Schizosaccharomyces pombe: one gene and its partner. The gene in region 2 interacts genetically with the main gene of each other region. Each region holds a gene or a part of one and is shown on either strand. Other genes may lie near its edges.

What was found. Genes that interact genetically often act in the same process or in processes that back each other up.
Region 1: mutations in gar2 (region 2) and bmt2 together harm fitness more than expected from each alone (negative genetic interaction), as found in Schizosaccharomyces pombe (one large-scale study listed by BioGRID).

Annotation. Positions count from the first base shown.
Region 1 is NC_003424.3:361,816-367,053, reverse strand, and holds bmt2 (rRNA (adenine) methyltransferase Bmt2), read right to left. Parts: upstream 1,610-5,238; 5' UTR 1,505-1,609; coding exon 692-1,504; 3' UTR 612-691; downstream 1-611. Other genes in the region: protein Vps55, read right to left, coding at 14-86, 163-181, 237-253; mug58 (glycerate kinase), read left to right, coding at 3,452-4,285; protein mug177, read right to left, coding at 5,180-5,238.
Region 2 is NC_003424.3:1,893,618-1,901,557, reverse strand, and holds gar2 (nucleolin), read right to left. Parts: upstream 4,097-7,940; 5' UTR 4,036-4,096; coding exon 2,533-4,035; 3' UTR 2,067-2,532; downstream 1-2,066. Other genes in the region: arb1 (argonaute inhibitor protein 1), read right to left, coding at 127-859, 921-1,172, 1,212-1,229, 1,269-1,351, 1,393-1,506; sdh2 (succinate dehydrogenase iron-sulfur subunit protein), read right to left, coding at 5,267-6,094; Arv1-like family protein Arv1, read right to left, coding at 7,864-7,940. UniProt on the Schizosaccharomyces pombe protein: Helps the assembly of pre-ribosomal particles containing 18S rRNA.

The DNA.
Region 1 (5,238 bases), 1.5 Mb from region 2:
GACAAAATCATACCAATTAGCAGTGGATACCAATTCTTGAATAAAGCACAAGACAGGATCACCAGCATAAATCCTACTGCCAGGACCTTAATAATATAAGTTAGACTCGTTTAAAATGGAATTGATGTCTAGCTCGAGTAGGAGTCATTGAGCGATGCATACCGAAGAAAGACCGATAATTCTAATTGGTGACAAACGTTAACCTTTGCTTTTTCATATTAACAAAAATTACTTACTTCCTGAGGTCGGACATATTTAATTACTATCGTTCACGAATATATACTGCAAGCTAAAGTTTACTGCTTTTGAGAAGAGAGACTTCGATGATTACCAGCTACTTCACCTAAAAAGGGTACGCTCCATTACGTTATACAGATGTGTTCTGTATGCATAGAACACAGAGCGGTGCACAAGATTTGTAAACTTGGCAAATAAGTTTAAAAAGACATATAACGAAAATGACTTGTTACTATTTTTTACACCAATGATCGAGCTTTCGGCTCATTAGTAAAGTATCGCATACGAACAAACTCTGAAAAACGTACTTTGTAGCTACGTAAGTAAAGGCTAGTAATTGACATTAACAATACAATTAAAAAAAAGCAAGAGGATAACCGACAAAAAGCATTCATTTCATTAATTTAACTTTGAGATACTAGTAAAATAAATTTTGTATTGACAAATATCTTAATTAGAGTATACAGGGAATGAAGAAATTATTCCTAGTTGCCCCATCATTAACGATCTTCTTTTTCCAGTCTATTTCTTTCATAGGAAAACACTCGTAAGAATATAAATAGTAGGCTATTTTTTTCGATATAGACTTTTGACGACAGATAAATCCAAACTGTATCATAATTGAGTGTAATGTTTTTTCATCCATGTACCGAGAATTTGTTATGCAAGGCGAAGGCAAAACCAAAAATAACCAAGGAGGCTGTTCTTTATTAGGAGGCATTAACAATCCTGTACAATGTAATAACATTTTAGCTCGGAGTTCTGGAGGTGCAAAATTCAGCACAAGTGAACAACTTATCCCAGTAAAAAGTCCTTCTTCAGGAGTTCTTTCAAGAAAGTCCTGTTGTTTAATCAAGGGATGAACAGAATGCAAATCAATCCTTGAAACTCGGAAAAGTCCACAAGTTGAACATTTGTTGTCAACAGAAACACTGCCAATTTCCAACAAATCTTTCGGCTCCTTAAGACGTGCGCAATACGAAAAACAGGGAGTTGTCCGAATCCATTTTATCAATATTTTACTTGAATCCCCTCCTTTTCCTTCCGCTTGACCGGATCGACTAGCTCGTTGGTAAGCATCAATACCTATATTTTCGAGTTCACTTTCCACATTTTTTATTTTTTCAATCGGAGCACTTGACGCAATAAGTCGAGATTTCTCTTTTAACAGGTTATGATAATGACGAATAAGCTTATTCCCCTTCAGTCCCTTTGCATTATCAATGTTGTTTTTTCCAATGCGATTCTTCACTGGAATGGGACGCATTCAAATAGTGATAAAATATTTGTTAATCTCCCAGATGAAAATATAATTGTATTTACAGTAAATGGTTCATAAATGTAGTTTCCTAATTACTTGAAAAGTTTTTACGATGAAAGAAGTAGTGTCGCGTTACTTATAAAAATTCAGCACAAGAAGAGCTTGGACAATGTATGATAAATTCTTAATATGTAATTAAAGAGCGGTAATTTATGCAACCCTTTAACCATTACACAGAATATTAAACGGGTTTCCTTTTTTTATACGGTTTGTACTTTACAAGCACAAATCAACTTTTTTTATATTTGAAACAAAAATTTAAAGGCTTTGGGCTTCGAGGGGGATCGAACCCCTGACCACTTCGACCCAAACGAAGTATGCTACCACTACACCACGAAGCCTCAGTTGATATTGTGCTTTGAAAACTGTATATATAGTTATTAGATTTACTTGATTATTAACTAAACTTTTTCAATTGTTTTTAAAAAATAATCAAAATAAAGAAAACAACCGCCAAATATGGTAGAACTATAACATAAAAAAATTCGGATAAATAAACAGCCAATATCAACTTCTCTCTTAAATTGTTTTAAATGATTCCACTCATCAGTTACGTTACGATATAATTGATATAAGTTATTTTTAAAAGAAAGTAATAAATGTGTATAAATATGTATATACGACAGCTATTGAAAAGTATTTTGGTAAATTCTAAACTAACGATTTATATCTAGTGGAATTGGATAAGGGACTTTATTTATTATTTCTTAAATAAAATACATTTTAAAAAATAAAAAAAAATAAAAAAAGAAAAGAAAAGAATTTGGTGTACTACGGATTACCTTAAGTTTTTAAGTTAAACGGGTGAAGTGTAAGTATTTATGATATGAAAACCATAGAAACATTTTTGTATTTTTACTACTTACAGACGAATTCTAATTGTTTCACCAGACTATATACTATTAAAACAAATAAGTGCTTCAAAAATAATTATTGTAGATTAAATTTTCTTGATAACTCAAACTTGAGTAAATTAATTTTTTAGAGTATATGTTAAAAAAATAAATACTTTTAGTTTAATTAAACGTACAAAAAGTGTTAACAAACATTATGTACCTGTAAACAAAATGTAATAATTAAATATAAATAATATTTGTAACTGCGGCTGCTATCGCATTGGATGGGGGACTGATTGTTGTACATTTCAGCTAAACTTATTTTTACAAGTTACTTTATTTACTGACACAATAAATTGCGTGTTTTTTTTGGATTACTATAGAAAAAACACATACGTTAGCACTGGAATATTATTATTTAGCTATAAAAGTCGCAAGAGACAAGTATGACAATTTAAAGACAAAGTATAAAATGCATATTACCTAAATTCTTCAGCATTTGAGCTATACTGCATGGCATCAAGATTAAACAATTTAAAAGTTAGCCGTCATTGTAGAAAATATAACTACAGAAATTCTATTATCCCTGAAAATCCAGAGCATCACCAAATTTTATTATGTATCTTCTATTTACTTATAGGTAAAAACAAAACATTTACAGCGTTACAACTTTCCAAATAGTGAGGCGCAGTGAAGCCGTTTCCAAGTATTACAGAGTTTACGCAAGCATTCAGTATATTGGCACAAATGAGACGTAACGGAATGTTAGTGATACAACATCCCGTAACAAAACTTTGTTGGTAAAATCCAACCATTGCATAACGACTTTAGCCTTTTAAAAAGCTTTTTGTGTTTGTAGTCCTTTACTGGTAGTCGTTACGAAAGTATCTAGTCACTGTGGTACTTAACATTGAATTTTCATATAGCTACAGCACCTCGCTTTCTTTCACATTTCGAGTATTAGTCCTACGTCTTTCCTATACTTATGTTATTAAGTCGTTTTTAAGGGGAAGCTAGGTTTTGTATTTAATTTAAAAATTTTATATAGAAGTGGAATATGAGTTCGTTGGAAATCATTGTCGACAAAATTTTAAAATTCCTGGAAAAGCAGCCAAAACCTGAAGGTCGTCCTTTTATTCTTGGAATTTCCGGCCCTCAAGGATCTGGTAAAAGCACACTGGCAAGTGCTTTAGATACCGAATTAACAAGGAAGAACGAATCAGTTGTGAAGTTCTCACTTGACGACTTTTACCTCACGCACGCAGAACAAGTTGAATTGGCCAAAAATAATCCCAATAATCCTCTTGTTCAACATCGTGGTTTAGCTGGAACCCATGATGTCACATTTTTAAATAATGTTTTAAATGCATTTGTTAAGGGAAGCGATGAGGAGGTATCTATCCCTTTTTACGATAAATCCAAGTTTGGTGGCTACGGAGATAGGGGAGATGAATCCCAATGGAAAAAGGCAAATCCTAAAACAACTACCTATGTAATTTTTGAAGGATGGATGGTTGGGTTTGAGCCGCTCGATTCTTGCATGCTGTCTGTCCGAGCACGATCAACACGTTGGCAAAATATTGAAGGAAGTTTACTGTGGGTAAACAGAAAGCTTGCAGATTATCAGCCTATCTTTCAAAAAATTGACTCTTTGGTGGAACTAGAGGCACAAGAGATAAACTATGTTTACAGATGGAGACTGCAGCAAGAGCATGCTTTGAAAGCTCGGATCCACAAGGGTATGAGTGATGAAGAAGTCATTGAATTTGTTAATCATTATATGCCCCAATATGTCTTTTATCTTGGTACCTTATCTAATAAAGTACATCTGAATCCACACTGTTTGGAAATCATACTTGATGAGAACCGATATCCTGTTGTTATGCATTGATGTATTTGTCTAAGATTTAAATCCCATGATTGTATAGCGTTCCTGTACTTTGGAATACTTTTTACGCTCCCCCCTTTCCTTGAACAAAGTTTTTACCTCTACTTTTTCTTTAATTCCAACTTTCTTTTGAAGTAACCCATCAAGGTTTGACCGACAAAAGCTTTTTATGATATTGTTGTATGCTTTTTCTAGCAAGCTGCTTTTAGACGATGTAAACCATCTTTGTAAAACTTAACAATGCGCTGCTATCACGTTCGACAATTCACCGTTTCTAATAAATGCTCCCATGGCGAATAGCCTTTTTCGCTATTTATTGGTTTGCTTCGGTTGTGACGCTTTAAGTACAAGTTTGTTAACTAGAAATATCAAGCATTTTTAATAATGTGATATTCGGTGGGCGGTTGTTGATATGCTTATTGCCAGTAGTCATGAAATAATGATACCAGCGAGTAATAAAATAGCAGTAGGTAAAAGGAAATGAATAAAAACAAAACAATGGTGAAAGCCTGTTGGTCGCATGTAGTCGAAAGCCGTTTTAATGATTGTATGTGAGGTCATAAAAACCAGTAATTTAAACGAATGCAATATTGATATCCGCTTTCACATTGTTTCCAATACCACATGCCATTCATATGCTGTTACATACAGAAACTCAACGAAACATTGAATTTAGCTTAATTTGAAAAGTGGAAAAAGAAGAAAAAACTCGATACTCTTATTTAATGTCACTACGCTCATTGGCCGTATGTCAAGTTGAAACGATTAAGGTCATGGGTTCACTGCAAAGGGTTTGTTCATCACGAAAACAAGCGTTTATTAAGCGCACCGAGATAGACGAAGTTCCCTTTGAGCGGACCATTCAGGATGACTCAATATGAAGGATAAAAGATGCAATCACAGATGGGAATCAACCGTCGGAGTAAATAGACAAACTTGGTCGGCTTGTTTAAGGC
Region 2 (7,940 bases):
TACGAACTCACCAACGGGTCATTAATATATGTTAGAACTTTATCCTCATCACAATAAGAAGAAGCAACTAATTAAAGGATTTCATATCCAGCTATATTACAAAAGTAACTATATTAAAATACAATGCTATTCATCTTTAACTTCTTCATAAAAGGTGGGTAGCACAGCAAGCACAGTGTCTAATATAGTCAGTCCATTATCCAAAAAAGTGAACGATCCCTCTAAGTGAGTGCCATCAACAGTGTTGTTCAGTAAATCAGATTCCAAAATTACTTCTAGTCTTTCCTTATTTGTATCTTGAGAATATTTAGATCCGGGTGGATCCCAAACGATAAACACTGCTTTGCATAAAGATTGGTTTGAAAAATTCAATAGCGTTTTAGAAACTAACTTGACTGTTAAGTACTCTTGTTCAACGACTTTCCCAGTCAAATATCGTGGACCAAGAGTTCTCTGGATGTAGTCGCGCGCTTGCTGTGTAGAAAATCTACTAATTCCATCAGGCTCAAATAGTTCATCATTTGGCATGAATTTGGTATTATTGGATTCAATGAAATTGACTGAACTATCACTTGTCCTATCACTTTGCGATTTGTCCCATAAGCCTTTATAATTGTCAACATGTATACTAGCCAATGCCCGCTGCAATCTACCGGGAAGTTTAGTTGATAGCCTCTTATTAGAAATTAATTCAGTTTCTGCTTGCTCTGCTAATAAACATGCGTCACGAATATTATCTTCGAATTCTGGTGCAACATTGTTATGCAAAACACTTAGCAGAAAATTTCTAACAATTTGACAAGCTATTTGCAAATCCTCTTCCTTAGTTAGTCCAGCGTTATACAAAATGTGTGACGACCTTAAATTGATTAGCTAAAATACAACGTGAATTAAATTCAATGGAAACATAAATGACTCACAGAAATACTCCAGCAACCCACTTAAAATCAATATCATATTCATCAAGTATATCGTATTCAATATAATCAGTCGTGGTTTGAGCGGAAACTTCTCGTGCCTTCGCATCGTTATTAATATCAGTACCCCCTGTAAACTGTTTTTGGCCCGTAGAAACGCCTCCTAAATCTAGATACATTGTAAACAGTCTTATTCTTGTAGGGTCGCTCCATTTTCTGCGTGATCGATATCTTTGAATAAATCGCTCCATTCGCCTAATTTGTCAGCAAAGTCCTTAACATCTGTTTACTAACACAGTCAATGGTATGTTCCTAGAAGTGTTAGTAAGACACAATATTTTGTATTCTCACCTGCTGTATAATGTCTCATTTTCCAATTTCTCTTCAGCTGTCAGTTCGGGTTCTTGAAAATAAGGCTCCCATCCAGACAATCCCTAATATTTATTAGACGGGTTTTCTAAAGCTTAAGAAATACCCTCTTTTTTCTTCTATTACCGAGACTTTTTCCTGTACGTTTTTTAAAAGTAGTAAATTCCACGCTATCGCCAATACAACCTGTACTGTCATTTTTAAAATCACCTTCTGCCATCACTCAATCACTTCATCTGGACTGGAAAGTCAGTACACTAGTCGTATAGTTGATTTACTAGTTTATCAGTGTGGTAAGGGGAATCTAAGGAACCAAATTTACAGTGTTGTATTAGAAGCTTTGTTCATAGAGTTAAGTAGACAGTTCCTTTGCCGGATTTAGTAACGCTGGATATATTATTCTACAACCGTTTTTTGAATATGCCAGAACTCATCACTACTGTTACAATTGAATTTAGCTATATTATAATTTGATATACAAAAATATTTTTTTTTAATTTGCTTAAAATAATCGCAACCAAAGTGTAAGTAAACATGCTTGTATTAATTTAAAAGTTGAAATAGAAGCGTATTTGTAATGTAGAATCAATGATACCTTCTATTGATGCTTACCTAATTTAATAGACGAGACATTACAAGTTGAAGATATAAGACAATATGACAATGGCTCGACTACATTCTTCATTTATGATTACGGGTAAGACCACAATCAAAGTTCAACAAAAAATCATTAATTTAAAGTGCCGTATGGAAAAGCCCAAAAAGGAACACAAAACGGTCTTCATTTACTAGCTATTAGAAAGTGATCAACGATGATTGTGAGTAACATGGATTGATTAGATGAACAAGAACAAAACTAAATAAGATTCTATTTTATATTAAAACCTATCTAAAGCTATGTCAAAAGCTTCTATGGAACGTATAAAGGAAAGGTGAATACATGAACTAAACCGTAGAACAACGCCAACCATCACTGCTTTGAAATTGTAAAACCAACGGGCCCATATTTATTATCTTTATAAAGTCAATAAAACCAAACCAAACCCAAATTCATTCCATAACAAACCCAAACAAGTCATTTGTATTTGAATACTTCAACCCAATTAAATCAAATCCACAGCCCAACATTTATTAAAACCCTTTATGCCAAAAAGTTTCCCAAAAACCCAAACTCATATATTAATTTGCTAAGGTATTTACATTTAACCCATAAAAATGAACTCAATATAGTTAAAAGCCAGTATACTTAGTCAAAAGTGACTTTGTTCCCAGAAAATGGAGCAACCGAGCCACGGTTGGGGTTTCCAGAGCGAGCACCACCTCTACCGCGACCACGTCCGCCACCAAATCCACCACGGCCACCGAATCCACCACGACCGCCAAATCCACCGCGACCACCACGGCTACCTCCACCAGTACGAGGAGTTGAAAAGTCCAAACGACATGGGCGACCAGCAATAAAATGACCGTTCATTTCCACACATTTCTTGGCAGAGTCAATATCAGAGAAAGTAACATAACCGAAACCCTTAAGACGTCCTGACTGAGGATCTGTGGGCAAACGAATGGATTGAATGTCACCGCAACCGCCAAAAGCCGTACTGAGATCATCTTCAGTTGCGTTAAAAGACAAATTTCCAACAAATACGGTATCACTAGGTTCAGATAATTGGTCTCCAAAATTACCCGCACGTTGTTGAGCATATGGTTGAGGGTTGGCTGGGCGAGGATTAGAGAGATCTAAGTTGACCATACGACCATCAATTTCCTTGGTACCATTAGCGGCAACAGCAGCCTTAGCAGCCTCAGGGGTCTCAAAATCAACGTAGCCGTAACCCTTTGAGCGACCGCTTTGGCCATCCATAATAACACGTGCACCAACAATTGTACCGTACTCTTCAAATTCCTGCCCTAACCACTGATCATCTACGTTCCAAGAAAGACGACCGACGAAAACAGTGCAAGTCTCGTTAGAATCTTGAGAAGGCTTGGTAATCTTAGCAGGTCTTTCTTCAGAAGCAGGCTCGGCTTTACGTTTCTTCTCGTCTTCAGAGCTGGATTCGGATTCAGAATCAGAGGAAGAGTCGCTGTCTCCAGATTCTGAGGAGGAATCTGACGAGGATTCGGAGTCAGAAGAAGACTCGCTGGAGCCTTCTTTCTTCTCTTCAGTCTTCTCGACCACCTCTTCTTCTTCCTCAGATTCAGATGAGGAAGATTCGGATTCAGATTCAGATGAGGAAGACTCGGAAGAAGAGTCACTAGAGCTCTCCTTCTTTTCTTCAATTTTTACAACAGCCTCTTCTTCCTCTTCAGACTCAGAGGAGGAAGATGATTCGCTGGAACTCTCCTTCTTCTCTTCAGTTTTCACAATCACTTCTTCTTCAGACTCAGACGAAGAGGATTCAGATGAAGATGATTCGGACTCTGAAGAACTAGATTCGGATTCTGAAGAGGAAGACTCGGATTCTGATGAGCTAGATTCAGACTCGGATTCTGAGGAGCTTTCTTCCTTCTTCTTAGATTTCTTTTGCTTTTTTACTGATTTCTTTGAAGGTTCGGGACTAGAAGCACGCTTAGCCTCCTTTTTAGATTTTTTAGGGGAGACATCGGTTTTAGAGCTTTGCTTTGCAATCTCTTTAGCAGCCTCCTTAGTAATCTTCTTGGACTTGGAAGGTTTCTCAATGGCACCCTTCTTTGATGCAGTCTCCTTCACTGATTTCTTAACGGAGGTTTTATCCTTTTTTGCCATTATATTCACAACCTATACCAAAAGCCCGTTTAAAAGAATTTGGGAGTTTTTTAGTTTGACTGCTGGTACGGCGCGACAAGCTGCTATATATAGCCAAAAAAATTTTTACCGATGATATATGTACCTGAAGCCGTATACTAGTATAGCAAATTTTCTAGACGTATTCGTTAAACTACTAATATAGAAGCTTGTTCAACTACTACTATTTTTTATAAAAGCGAGTTTAACTAATTACGCTATCAAGTAATAGCTATCTGCGCTATTCAACAACAAACCAGCAAAGTAAAATATTCGCCATTAATATTTAAAAAATGAGTGTGTCTGAAGGCTTATAACATGTCTTAAAGGTAAAAAGCATATTGAAATTTAATAAATTGTTGAATCAGTGAAACGAAGGAGTTAGGTTTAGTCTTGCGTAGTATTATCTGGAGTGGTGAATATGTAAATTCTTATGAACGATAACATCTTATCCAAGTTATTTGTGTTCGTCAAATATTATAAACTAAAAAGTGGCCGTGAAAATGTACATTGTTGATCCATTGAAATTTTAAAATCATGTTATAGTAACAAAAAATTTCGACCAGCCTATGGAGAATACCATGGTTTAATCGTCATATTAAGATTTATTTTTCTTTCATTATTGTGTACATGATTTCCGTTTTTATGTGATACTTTAATTAAATAAAAGATGCCTCATTTACTTATCTCAAGTTTTACAAAGCAATTACCTTAAAGGGCTCTCAATATGCTAAAAAGTTTTCAACTCTTTAACCAAAGAAGCAGCTGCTATGTTAAATGCAGTAACTAGCCACAAATAAACAGTGAAAAAAGTGGTTTAGATAATTTTCAAATACATGCTTAATTATTTCATCTGATGTAACAGCGTAAAAAATCACAATCAAACAATTCAATTGTGCACAAGTTACCACGAAATAGCATATTTTCTTTAAAATAGAAAAGTTTACCATTTCCCGAAATTATTAATGGTAAACTAGATTTAGATATTGCAAATAAAAATAAAGGGTTCATTAACGGGAACAACGCAAAAGTAATGGTCAGATCGAGAAAGTAATGTAGCATAGATGACAGCTAAACACAGAGCTACGCAAGTAAAAAAAATCGTAGAAGAGAAACATAAAATAGGTTAAGTAACAACGGGGGTTCCTCTTTAACAAGAAATATTGGAATCATCAGATGCGAAAGAAAAGACAAAAAGAAGCGTAAATCTTGTTTAAGCAGTAGCCATCAAAGCCTTTACCTTGGCAATGGCAAGGCCAGGGTTCAAACCCTTGGGACAAGTACGAGCGCAATTCATAATGGTATGGCAACGATAGACAGACATAGAGTTCTGCATGACATCCAAACGTTTAGCAGTAGCTTGATCACGAGAATCGATGATCCAACGATAAGCCTGCATCAAAACTGCTGGGCCAAGATACTCTTCTGAGTTCCACCAGTAAGATGGACAAGAGGTAGAACAACAGGCACACAAAATACATTCATACAAACCGTCAAGCTTGGCACGGTCAGCGCGAGATTGGTAAAACTCCTTGTCTTTAGGGATGTTATCGTTTTGCAACCAGGGTTCAATACTCTTATATTGCTTATAAAAGTAGGTTAGGTCAGGTACGAGATCCTTTACGATGAAGCAATGAGGTAAGGGGTAAATTTTAGTAGGTTTGTTATCTTTTTTAATGTTACAGATGCAAGCCAAAGTATTACTGCCATTAATATTCATCGCACAAGACCCGCAAATACCTTCTCTGCATGAGCGACGGAACGTTAAGGTAGGATCTTGCTCATTTTTGATTTTAATAAGCGCATCCAAAACCATTGGTCCGCATTTTGTTAAGTCGACTGTATACTTTTGAAGCTTTGGCTTTACTTCTGGTTTCTCTGGGTTCCAGCGATAAATCTCGAAAGTTTTTAAATTTTCACCCTGTGACTGAGGATTAGCAGAAGTGGCAGATATGTTGGCCTCTGTAGCCATCATACGGGCATTTCTGTTAACAAAATGCTTCAAAAACGGGCTCAAAACTTGAATTCGACGGCTGAACATCTCGATATGTTTTGATTTTTAATATTGGCAGTTGGTAAGACTGGTAAAGGCGAGCGTTGTGGTTGGCTATTATAGATGGAAACAGAATCAATTTTATTGGCGGCAGAAAAATACATTAAATTTTTCACTCATATCCAAAATAAAACTTTTAAATATTTTTGTGTATTAAATTTAACAGTTTCTTCAAAAAAAAATCCCCCGTACATCTAAAACATGTATGGGGATCGCGTGTTTACTGGCCTGTCGTAGACAGCGTTAAATTATTTACGCGATAGGAAGTTGGCTAACGTATTACTCGCTTAAGTGCAGTTAGTCAAGATGGTCAAAGCGGTTTATCCAAACAAATTTAGTTAATTAATGTTTAAATACGCATACTTCGAGTTTTAATATTACTTCCGTAAAATAAATATTCAAAAAAAAAACCTATTTATTTGGTAGAACTGTATGACTTTAATCTCGTCTCTTTTCATATAAGGTGCTATTAACTGATTAATAAACCGGTAACCTAATAACCCTTGAGCCGAATTACTGCCAAATTTACAAAACAATCATGTAGATTAGAGTGAAAGGATAGACAGTATGAAAATATTAGAGTCATATTAAAAAATAAATACTTTCTGTAATTGATAATTTAATTAAAATAAAAAACAAAAGTCGAGAAATACAAGAAAATTACATGTTTGCCCTATTTTCAAATTAGGTTTTAATTTAGAGATTAGAAAAACATGGTTAATTATACGGAACTTATTTGCACAAAAACTTTTTACCGTTACAAATCTAATTCATTATACAACCCTCCGAAATCGGAAAGAATATTTTTCTGCTGCTTTTTAATAGGGCTACATCCAACTGAAGATTAGTCTGCCAACCTAATCTTCAAGTTTTCCATTCTTCACTAAAAGCTAATGTAACCTGTTATTAATTGATTTAACATACTAATTATAAAAAGCTGACATCTTAGCTACACACTAAATTATTATTATTATTATTTTTAAATTTTTTTAAAAGCACAAAATGCAGCACATGTAGCAAAACAACGCTATTTTTTTTTTTTGAATTGGGTTTAAAAAATAGTTTACTGTATTCAATCTCAACGGGTCTGATTGCATTTGCTTACAGTTCTATAAATTACTTACTTTCTAATTTTTATTTCATTTAAAACTTACTGAAATATTCATTCGCTTACTATGAGTTTATTTTACATTACGAGCTAAGACGGTGTTAGCTGACCTGGTTGCTTCTATAACTAAACAAATGTATAATGAACAAAGACTTATATACATATATTGATTAAATATTTAAAAAATATCGTAGCTGATAAAATTGTGATGGGTTCTTTAGCGACAGCAAAAGCAAACCTCTGAACTTTGTTATTAAAAAAATGCAACAAATTCCACTGGTAAGAAAAATATCTTCGAATGATCATTTGTTTAGTTATGCTCAGCAAAATAGTTTTACTTTTTTCAGTTTTTTGCCTTTTTTATTTCCTTGCAGTGTTTCCTCTATATAATTGTATCTATTACATATCTATATGCTTTGAGGGTGTAATTATTATTTTTATTTAGACCATTTCAAGTTTCATATTACAAGATTAGGAAATATGATTACTGGCTTCGGTTTCAATTGGTTCATCAAATTCATATTTTTTAAATATCAACAACTTATTAAAGAACTAATAATTGACCAGTTTCTTAAAACGGGTGATATAAAAACTTTTAATAACTGATACACTATGTCGATGCCGTATTGTTTCCCATTTCCTTTTGTCATTATACTGCAGTTTGCGCAGTTAAAGTGATTGAACGAAAGTATACACATAATAGATTTACAAAATGCTGAAACCCAT